3 linked regions of the Schizosaccharomyces pombe genome follow. The protein of the gene in region 2 binds, or shares a complex with, the protein of the main gene of each other region. Each region holds a gene or a part of one and is shown on either strand. Other genes may lie near its edges. The genes, in order: mrx14, mrpl32 and mrp20.

What was found.
Region 1: mrpl32 (region 2) and mrx14 share a complex: the UniProt entries of both Schizosaccharomyces pombe proteins name them as parts of the mitochondrial large ribosomal subunit.
Region 3: mrpl32 (region 2) and mrp20 share a complex: the UniProt entries of both Schizosaccharomyces pombe proteins name them as parts of the mitochondrial large ribosomal subunit.

What each region holds. Positions count from the first base shown.
Region 1 is NC_003423.3:3,803,248-3,807,005, forward strand, and holds the start of mrx14 (mitochondrial 54S ribosomal protein bL34m), read right to left. Parts: upstream 1,782-3,758; 5' UTR 1,655-1,781; coding exon 1,328-1,654; 3' UTR 1,084-1,327; coding exon of another isoform or gene 1-1,083. Other genes in the region: cqd1 (ABC1 kinase family protein ), read left to right, coding at 1-1,083; U2 snRNP-associated protein Sap62, read left to right, coding at 2,555-2,680, 2,997-3,438, 3,502-3,587. UniProt on the Schizosaccharomyces pombe protein: Component of the mitochondrial ribosome (mitoribosome), a dedicated translation machinery responsible for the synthesis of mitochondrial genome-encoded proteins, including at least some of the essential transmembrane subunits of the mitochondrial respiratory chain.
Region 2 is NC_003423.3:3,905,783-3,909,320, reverse strand, and holds mrpl32 (mitochondrial 54S ribosomal protein bL32m), read right to left. Parts: upstream 1,470-3,538; 5' UTR 1,184-1,469; coding exon 872-1,183; 3' UTR 590-871; downstream 1-589. Other genes in the region: SPOM_SPBC1604.12 (uncharacterized protein), read left to right, coding at 1-428; PAK-like kinase Shk1, read right to left, coding at 2,263-3,538. UniProt on the Schizosaccharomyces pombe protein: Component of the mitochondrial ribosome (mitoribosome), a dedicated translation machinery responsible for the synthesis of mitochondrial genome-encoded proteins, including at least some of the essential transmembrane subunits of the mitochondrial respiratory chain.
Region 3 is NC_003424.3:400,809-404,443, reverse strand, and holds mrp20 (mitochondrial 54S ribosomal protein uL23m), read right to left. Parts: upstream 1,559-3,635; 5' UTR 1,385-1,558; coding exon 899-1,384; 3' UTR 632-898; downstream 1-631. Other genes in the region: AP-2 adaptor complex subunit Apm4, read left to right, coding at 1-631; ATP-dependent RNA helicase Dbp10, read left to right, coding at 2,250-2,472, 2,573-3,635. UniProt on the Schizosaccharomyces pombe protein: Component of the mitochondrial ribosome (mitoribosome), a dedicated translation machinery responsible for the synthesis of mitochondrial genome-encoded proteins, including at least some of the essential transmembrane subunits of the mitochondrial respiratory chain.

The sequences.
Region 1 (3,758 bases), 100 kb from region 2:
TCTTTAGACTTACAAATCTTAGGTTTCTTCGCAAAATTAATTAATTTGGTACCTTCAATGAAGTGGCTTTCTCTGCCCGACGAAGTTAAGGTATTTGGGGCAATGTTAAACCAGCAATTGAATTTACATTATGAGGCGCTTCATCTCAACCAGTTCCGTCTTAACTTTAGAGGAAATAGATATGTTGAATTTCCAGCTCCCTATGATGATTACACGACTAATCAAATCCTACTAGAAGACTATATGCCGGGTATCCCATTAAGCGCGTTCCTCAAACATAAGTCAGGACCATTTAACAAGTTGTTAGCTAACACAGGAAATAATGCATTATTTCAAATGCTTATTGTTGACAACTTTACACATGCTGATCTTCATCCGGGTAATGTCCTTGTTAAATTTTACAAAGGAATCCCTAAAACAATCTTTAATCAAGATAATGAGATTAATGACTCAATTTATAAAATTCTAAGTACATGTTCGACGGAGGAATGGGATTCTGCTATGGAAGAATTAAACATCTTGGGCTATCGACCGACTTTAGTATTTTTGGATGCTGGATTAGTAACGAAACTTAGTACGCAGGATCAGAAAAATTTTTTGGATCTGTTTCAAGCCGTACTTACTTTCCATGGCTATGAGGCTGGACTGTTGATGGTTGAAAGGAGCAGGCAGACAGAACGCGTTATAAACAAAGACATATTTGCTCTTAAAATGGAACATTTGTTGAATGAAATTCAAAAGAGCACGCTTTCACTGAAATCACTTCAAATAGGAACTATATTACAAGAAGTAATGACTATGGCGAGAGAGCATCATGTTCGAATTGAAGCAAATTTCGCAAATACTGTGCTATCTATCCTTTTAGTTGAAGGCGCTGGACGCCAACTATATCCAGAAATGGATCTATTAAGTAATGCTACACCATATCTTCGTTCTGCTTCATCGAAATCCAATGTCTCACTCACAAACCCAATGGTTCAATTATGGATAGCTTTAGAAGCTAGACAATTTTTGCTTTTAAGCACCTCTAAAGAAACGGTAGAAAAGTGGGTTAAGTCCGATATGATCGCACCCAATATATAAAAAAATTACGGTTTATTTTATAAATGATGGAAAATTGTTCATGAAAAATATAGTCGCAGACATGGAAAATAAATTTTATAAACTCGTGTTTTAAAGAAGTTATTAAAGTTCAAAGTTCAACAAGTAAAATTAAACAAAGAACCAATGGAAAGAAAATGTATCACAAACTAGAAAGCATTACTTAAATGAAGAATTGATAGAGGTTACTAATGCAAATTAGAGCCCATTAAAAGATAATATGTACTCAATGGCTCAGATACATCCTCCCTTTTTGTCTTCGATCTCGTAAAACACGACGACCGTTAACAGAACGAATTCGAGATAAAAATCCGTGTTTTCTTTTACGCTTTCTATTTGAGGGTTGATACTCGTTTCCATACGTTTTCCAACGCACTTGCTGCATTTGACCGAAGATGTTCATAGTCGGTAAAGAACTGTATAAAGTAGCGGTATTAAAAGGGTTTCTTGTCGGAAACCCTCTCATAGTTCCTCCTCCAGCTAATATTGAAATATTCCTGGCTCCCTTCATGGCAGGATGCAACAAATTTCGAAATTGTTGCATAAACATCATAAAGCAATAGGAATGAAAGCAGGTGACTGGATTTCAAGAGAAAAAATTTCAAAAAATAATATAAAAATTATATATGAACGTAAATGTGCAAAATGAAGAGATTTGAGATGTGATGGAGTAGCTGGTTATTAGAAAGGTTGAAGTGAATCAGTGTAGCACCGTTTGACATTCGAAGTGTTAAATTTCAAATATTTGTGTTACAATAAATTAAAATCTTTGCTAAAATCCAATAACTACGTTTTAATAGTTTCATTCAATTCACTGGAATGTCGGTAATATAATAATAATACTATTATTATTAATAAATAGTTCATTAACCATTCTTTATACGCCCTTAAAGAAAGCAACCTGAACCCCTAAAATTTGATATCGCTTTTGCTTTTTCCCAACAAATAATTGGCATGAGATTACCAAATAGTAAAATCCATCAGTTTAATGAATTCGATTCATGGGCTAAAAGTGATAATTTATAGTACAAAAAAGGTTTTAGCAGTTAAATGACATCTTATACTTTCTTTTATCTATTTTATTTTATTAATAATACCCAGTATTTTAAATTGGAAGCAAATTGCTGCAGTCCCGGCTTTTTAAATATTGAAAGCATATTAAATATACTCATATATGGGAGCATCAATACATTAAATTTATCAAAAGTTATTATTTTTTTTTGTTTTTACGTGACATAATAAAATGGAGAAAAGGAGCTCTAATCTGCTATTTAAAATATTTGTTAAAAAAAAGGCATCGACGATGAGAATTTAGCGTATTGTTCTGCATTGCGATATTTCTTTAAACATAGGGGTTCACGAAAGTACAGCCTCTGCCACCGTCTTTTAGGGGACTTTATTGTCATTGTGAAAGTACAGAAAAATAAGTGTTGGATTTTCTAGGAACTAAAAAATGGATTATCAAAACCGCGCAGGTGTTCGTTTTGGAGGAGGAGGCGTTGCTGGCTATCAAGAAACAAATGCTGCACGTAGAGAGCGTCTTCGTAAATTGGCGCTAGAAACCATTGATTTATCAAAGGTATGTTTAAAAACCACTGAATTCTGAAAATTTGAGTGCTGAATGTCAATTATAATTACCGATGAATTAATCGTGTAAAGTAAGACATGTACGTATGTTACATATTATTGAAGTTTATTAGTAGTTGCTGTTAAATTCGCTAACTATAACAACTAAAATAACAACAATAATAAATGAAAAGGATTTGCTTTCTACTTCCTTGTTTGCTGTTTTGCATGTTACACTAATTGGACATCTTTTTTTTACCCTGTCAATCACCTTGAAGCTTCCTCCTCAAACTCTTTGCGATGATATTTCTATTGCTAATCTCTTATAGGATCCATATTTGATGAAAAATCATTTAGGCACTTTTGAATGTCGTCTTTGCCTCACTACACATGCGAATGAAAACTCTTACCTTACCCATACACAAGGTAAAAAACACCAGACAAATTTAGCCAGGAGACAGGCTCTCGAAAATAAAAAGTCTCAAGAGAATGCACCACAAGTGTTGTTGGGCATTTCTCAATCCCATGTCCAGGTTAAAAAAAGTGTCGTAAAAATTGGTCGACCCGGTTATAAAGTGTCCAAAATAAGAGAAGCCGAAAGCGGAAAATTTGGCCTACGTTTCCAAATAAAGTATCCAGATATTGAAGTGAACGCTAAGCCAAGATACAGAATTATGAGTGCTTATGAACAGCGTGTTGAAGCTCCTGACCGAAAGTTTCAGTATCTGGTAGTGGCTGCTGAACCATACGAATCAATAGCCTTTAAAATTGGTATGTTGGTTTTACTGATTTTTTATTTATATTAACTTTGTTGCGCAGATGCTCACGAAATAGATCGTGCACCCGGGAAATTTTGGAGTTATTGGGATGCACCTACATATACTATCCAATTCTTTTACAACTTAACAAAAATATCGTAAATTTTGAGCTGCTATCCTAAATTTCCTTTTTATGAAACAAAATGTCTTTTCCAAATATTTCGCTCAGTCTCCCAATTTATCAATACCGCAGTTCTTTATGTGTGTAAAAGAATTCGAACTCAATCATTCTGAATTGTTTCTCCACACGTGAATTGTAGAAGAACCGTGCTA
Region 2 (3,538 bases):
CTTACAGCCACTCCAAAGGTCGTGATACCAGAAGTAGTAGTTATGTAGTATCCTCGGAAACGAGCTCTTTAAAATCATCGAGATTGATACTTAGTCATGCAAATTCTGTTCGAATTCAGCGATCGAAGGGCGATGTTATTTTGAATTTACATTTGCCTAAAGTGAACCCGGAGCGGTTTCTTCCTACTAAATCATTAAAATTAGAGGAAATGAAACCATTAGAGGAGAAGGTTCCTATATACCGCTCATCTTCCAAACAACCCCTTCGAATTCATCCTACTCATCCACTGCGTGTAACTGTTTGTCTTCCAGGTAGCAAGACAATTCAAGTGGCTCGTCGCTCTTTTCGTAATTCAATGAACGCTAATCGTTATGATCCTCAACGCCGAGAACGAATTGATTCCGGTTTATGGAGGGCGAAAAACTAGCTTGGTTTTTTCTTATTGTTATCGTTTATGTATACTTTACATGAGATTATAGTCTCTTTTGTGTTTTCGATGCATTTAATATTATTTACACGCTTACAACATAAACGTGTATTGAAAAAGGATGAAAGCTAAGAGATATATTCAGCTTTTTTGTTATTTTTTCACTCTAAATTCTTTTGCATAATATATGATATTTATACTCAACCGTACATAGTCAACAAATAAAATTAAGTAAAAAAATTCTTTGTTATACGCGTATTTTTAAAAAGGGTGTAGTTCATTAATCGTAATACTGAAAAAATTTAAGTAGTGCGAGCAGATTCAATTCACTAACTGCAATACTATTACATGAAACAACCTTATATTTAATGTTAAGTCCATTTTTTTTCTTAAAATAAAGATTTGCAGCATCACTAAATCAGTGAAGAAATGCTTAATGCCCTTCATTCGTTAAATTCTCGACGAATATTTCTAAAACAGTGAGAACATAAATGATGTGCCAATTTAAAAGACCCGCAAATAGGACAACGATTAACTGTTTTGTCTTTTAATGCTTTTCCGGACAGTAAGCGACTTCGTTTCTTAGTATAAGAAGTTTTTTTCTTTGGAACAGCAAGCAAAATGGAATTCCATATATTAGCTATTGAAGGGGGGGAAATAAATATCCTCAAAGAAATATGAGGAAGGGCGCTAGCTTGAAAAACTGATAACATTTTTTGGCTAATTGCCAAAGAATTTCCTCTTAAAAGAGCCATTTTCGACCCAAGCGCGAACAGTAGAATATTGTTGGGTACAGTAATGCTGAACAATATTTTAAAAGTTTTCTCAAGGTAAGGCGAACTTAGTTACTGCAGAACTTGATCTTAATTATATAGTTATAAAACGATGCATATAGCCGTTTTCTAAAACCAGTAGACCCAATCACAGATAGATTTACGATCTCCGAGAAAAGAGTTTGAAATAATTGGAAGTCGTCAAAAGGAAACTTAAAGACCAGTTACTTTGGTTTCGAGACAATGCTTAAGAAGTAGGCTGCTGCCTAAATCTATAGTCTGCTGTTGAGTAGTAATAACCCATGTATAACGAGACTCCTCAAATTCACTATTGCTTTGGCTTGACATTTAAATGCTAAGTGCGCTCTCTCTTTATTAAGTCTCGCAGTTTAATGTTGACAATTTTCTTAAGCTCATGAACTACGCTACAATCATAGTCCATTTAATTATTTGAAGTTTTCTACGTATTTGTACTAATTTTAGTAGATCAAAAATTTTGTGAAATATTCCAGCAGGCGTTTCACTTTGAGATTCCACATAATTGAAATTGAAACATCGCTTTAAAAGATTCAAACCTATTTTGACTGATTCAAGATCAATCTCAGAATCATGTACTTACATTTTGAATACTTTGATAAGTTAGTCTTCCTTTTAGTTTTTTTATAATGCATTGCGAATATTAAAAAGTTGAGACTTTTAGAAAGAAGCATTGTCTCATTTATTATAAAAATTATCCAAGTGTCACTGAGATCATTCTTGGCAGTAAGAAAAAAACAAAAAAAAAGGAACAGATAAGTAAAGTATGCACTAGAAAAAGGAATTAAAGTAAAGCAAAAAAGTAGTTAAAATGTACTCTGTTTGAATCTGCCCAACCTGCGGATATGGATTTTAGTGGAGGAGGCAAAAAAATAAACTCAGGTACATATATTCTAACGAACTGCAAAAGCATATTAACGATAAATAAACAATGTGAGAAGAAACAGTTTTTAAGCAAACGTTGGAGGATATTCCGAAACTTCTAACAGCAGATGTTTACTCAAAAACTTTTTTGACAAGTTAGCCTATTTACCAGAATGATGTATGGATTTTATCAAAGGGATAAGGGATGAAACTGGAACGGCTTGCTTAAGAAACGGATGCCTTAAAAGCTCACCGGAGCTAGGGCGTTGCTTAGGATTAACAGTTAAAGATTTAGAAAGAAAATCATGGAAAACAGAACTTAACAATTCTGGCCGACTAATCTTTGGAGTACCAATAGTAGCAATTAAATATAGAGCACGTAAAGGATTTTCGTTTAAATACGGGGGCTCTCCCTCTACCATCTCTATAGCCATAATACCAAGACTCCAGACATCAACTTTGAAACCATATTCCTTTCTAGTAACGACTTCTGGAGCCATCCAATATGGAGTACCAACCATCGTCGTTCGTTTCGTCATGTTACTGTCGATCTGAGCACAAAACCCAAAATCGGTAAGTTTAATATCTCCTTGAAGTGAGAGAAGGATATTGTCTGATTTTATGTCACGGTGAACAATGCCATTTTCATGGAGATGCTGTAAGCCTTCCAACGTTTCCTTACATATTGCAGCTATCTGACCTTCTGAAAGAGTGTTATTGGTAACCACTTCAGTAAGACTGCCACCGCGCATGTATTCCATTACCATCCACAACTCTGATTTATAGAAGAAAGTGTCAATAAAATTGACAATGTTTTTGTGATGATGTGACTTCATCACGAGTATTTCATTGACAATAAATTCCTTTTTTGGCTGTTGATTAATGTTCATTTTCTTGATGGCAACAGAAAGATTAGTGCCGACTTGGCGAGCAGAATACACATCACCAGAAGCACCTTGACCAATTTTAACAAAATTTCGATATAAAAGTGTTGGATTTTTGGGATTGCATATAGACTGTAACTTTGCCAATACAGCAGAATCATTGGATTGTTGTCGAGGTGCACGCTTTTGAAGTCGAGGGGCACTTGGTGCTTCCACTTTTTGAGGAGTCGCAACAGCTTTCGGTTTGGTGCTAGTCTCGGCTCTCCGTTGATATGGTGTCGAGTTATTCGGACGGATATGTTTCGTTTCAGATGTACTTAAGGTTTGAGGCGTTAACAAAACAGGGGAATGACTTCGGATTATATTATCGGTTGACTTGCTGGAAACTAATGGAGAAGGTTGTCGAGAAGCATTAGAGGTAGTAGTTTTAACTGTTTGTGATGATAATAAAGGAGACGATGAAGAACTTGCAGGAGGCGTGGGAGCAGGTCGAGAAGGATACAAACGAGAAGATGAGCTTGTAGCAGAGGTGGGTTGAAGATGAGAACTACTA
Region 3 (3,635 bases), on a different chromosome or scaffold from region 2:
GTCTAAATCAAATAACTCTAGAAATCCGTCCTCAGTTAACGGAGGATTTGTCATTTTAGAAGATTGCCAGTTTCATCAATGTGTTAGATTGCCGGAATTTGAAAATGAACACAGAATTACTTTCATTCCGCCGGATGGTGAGGTTGAATTAATGAGTTATCGTTCACATGAAAACATAAATATTCCTTTTAGAATTGTTCCTATTGTCGAACAGTTGTCGAAACAAAAAATTATTTATCGTATCAGTATACGAGCAGACTATCCACACAAACTTTCTTCTTCTTTGAACTTTCGGATACCGGTTCCCACAAATGTGGTAAAAGCTAATCCTCGTGTAAATCGAGGAAAGGCAGGGTACGAGCCCTCTGAAAATATTATCAATTGGAAAATTCCCCGGTTTTTAGGCGAAACTGAACTTATTTTTTACGCTGAGGTAGAGTTATCTAATACAACTAACCAGCAAATATGGGCGAAGCCTCCAATATCCTTAGATTTCAATATTCTTATGTTTACCAGCTCCGGTCTACATGTGCAATACTTAAGGGTCAGTGAACCTTCTAATAGCAAATACAAAAGTATTAAATGGGTAAGGTACTCAACTAGGGCTGGAACTTGCGAGATACGCATTTAAGAAGTATTGTGATACAAAATTATTATTTTATTAATTGACGACCGTGCTTTTCCGACATGAAAAGAATTTCCAAAATAGTTTTAGAACATTTCAAAATGAAACAAGTGGCGTTGAAAGTTTAATAGATGAAAGAAGAGAGGTTATAATGAATGCAATTAAACACCATACCGCTTCGATGAGGCATTTGAGGCTATAATTATGCTTTTGTAGGCATTAATGAATAGACGGAAACCAAAATAAAACATTACCTGGGAAATGAAAAAAATACTAATACTTTTTCTTTAAAAGTCTAGCGATTTTCTGTTGTGATTCGAGTATCTGCTTATCTTGTAACTTACTTAACTCTTCGTTCACCCGTTTCATGTCAACTTGTTCAAGGACCTTTGGATACCTGCTCAGGGTTTTCACATTAGAACCATCAGGAAGTAATTCACCCTCCTGCCAATCTTTCAAATCATTTGGGGCATTTGGGTAAACGAAAGGTTCTTCCATCTCAACGATGACGCGTTTTTCAGATTGTGGTCTCTTAACCTGTCCTAGTTGATTTCTAAAAAGTTTGCCCTGATAAATTCTTGACTTAACTGATACGACTTTTAAATTGTACACATGTTGCAAATAATCGCGAACATCAAACTTGTTAACATGAAGAGGTACGCGAAATACTGCAAATTTAGGTTGAAGATTTAGTCCTCTGCATAACGTGAACGTTATATTTGGAAAGTACACTAATCTTTTCCCAGCAATTTTACTCATATTTACTATTGAGTTTCAACTTCAAGGCTAAAGCAACTTGTGCTAGTTATGCAAAAAAAGAGAAACAAATGGTTTTTCTCAACAGTAGATTTCAAGATGAATTTGATGTCAACGGCCTTAGGTAAACGATTAGTTATTAACCATTTGTTGGATTACGGAGTTCAAATGTTGTTTAGTACTAACGTGCTGAGAATCCGGTTGCTTTATTGCATCAAAGCTCAGTTGTATACTATTAACAAATAACGTCTCTGGTTGTATTATCCTAGAACGTAATATATGTAAGCTACGCAATTTGGTATCTGATTTAAGGATACGTAGAACTGCGGTGAGTTTTCCTTGTGATCTATTATATTGTAATACGCAAGTAGTATAAGTAGGAATTGGATATAGGTATTCTAATATATAGGATATATCGTTATCTATAGCTGAGATATCTTATAACTGAACTGAGGAATCAAATTCAGTTGTTCTCAATTTATAACATTTGAAATAACAAGGATTATAACTGATAGTCATCTTATCATAAATGATATTATATCCTTCTAGATAACTTATCATGTAAAGCTGATAGAGCAAATAGAACATTATGAACATGTGACATATAGTGATACACAACGTAGTATATCGTAGCGTAGTGTAGTATTGCTGACATATAAAGCAGCTTATTTCAAGTTCGTTATAGTTTATTAAAATACGTTGGATTACTTATTTTTAATATAAAGAAACGCAGCAGAACAATTGAAATGAGAATGTTAAATCAAACTTAAGAAGGCCCTTTTGATAGTTGTTATTCATACGGTAAATTTTCTTGCCAGCGACACTAGAGAACTAAAAAATCAACAAAAGTGCAGCTCACTCGTCTTAAATGTCCGGATTCCAGACGTCCGACGAGGTCGATATATCAAATTCTTTAAAAGCTTTTCCTGTTGATATTGCTACTGATAATCAAAAAGATAAGCACGAAAATGTTGGTGAAAATGTGAGCGATGAAGATGATGGTAATTATATTGCCTCGAAGCTTTTGGAGTCTAACAGGAGGACGAAGGGAAAAAAGGGGAATGGAAAGGCTTCTAATTTCCAATCGATGGGTATGTTAACTTCGTGATTACTTGCCATAAGGTCACTTTGCATTATGCTTCAAGACACTGTAATCTAAATTACTTTGATATTTTTCTAACTTAATTATAGGATTGAATCAAACTTTACTTCGAGCAATATTTAAGAAGGGTTTTAAAGCTCCTACGCCGATTCAGCGCAAAACGATTCCCCTTTTATTGGAAGGTCGTGATGTTGTAGGTATGGCACGTACTGGATCAGGTAAAACTGCAGCTTTTGTTATACCTATGATTGAGCATTTGAAGTCCACTCTAGCAAACTCTAATACTCGCGCCTTAATTCTCTCGCCAAATCGAGAACTTGCTCTTCAGACTGTGAAAGTCGTCAAAGACTTTTCTAAAGGTACGGATCTTCGATCTGTCGCTATCGTCGGTGGCGTCAGTCTAGAGGAGCAATTTAGTTTGCTATCCGGAAAACCCGATATTGTGGTCGCAACTCCTGGAAGATTTCTACATTTAAAGGTGGAAATGAAATTGGAGTTGAGTTCAATCGAGTATGTCGTTTTCGATGAGGCCGATAGACTTTTTGAAATGGGTTTTGCTGCTCAATTGACAGAGATTTTACATGCTTTGCCGACTTCTCGTCAAACTCTTCTCTTCTCTGCCACACTTCCACGTACTCTTGTTGATTTTGCAAAGGCTGGACTTCAAGACCCGGTTCTTGTACGCCTTGATGTAGAATCCAAGGTTTCCGCGGATCTACAAAGTGCCTTTTTTTCTGTTAAAACCGCTGAACGCGAAGCTGCTCTCTTATGTATACTACAAGATATCATTAAGCTTCCTCTAAAAGATAACGTGCGCCCAAGAGAAATAGGAAATGTCAATAATCCGAAGAAAAGAAAACGTGCATTAGAATTAGCGCTTAAAGGAAGTGAATCTGGATCACCAGATTCTACTCTAGTATTTGTTCCTACAAAACATCATGTCGAGTATGTTTCTGAGTTACTTGTTCAAGCAGGATATTCGGTTTCAAAAATTTACGGGTCTTTGGACCAAGAAGCGCGTCTCAATGAAATTAATAATTTTCGACTTGGAAAAACAAATTTACTAGTCGTTACAGACGTAGCTTCTCGTGGTATTGACATCCCATTACTTGCTAATGTTATTAATTATGATTTCCCTCCTCAACCAAAAGT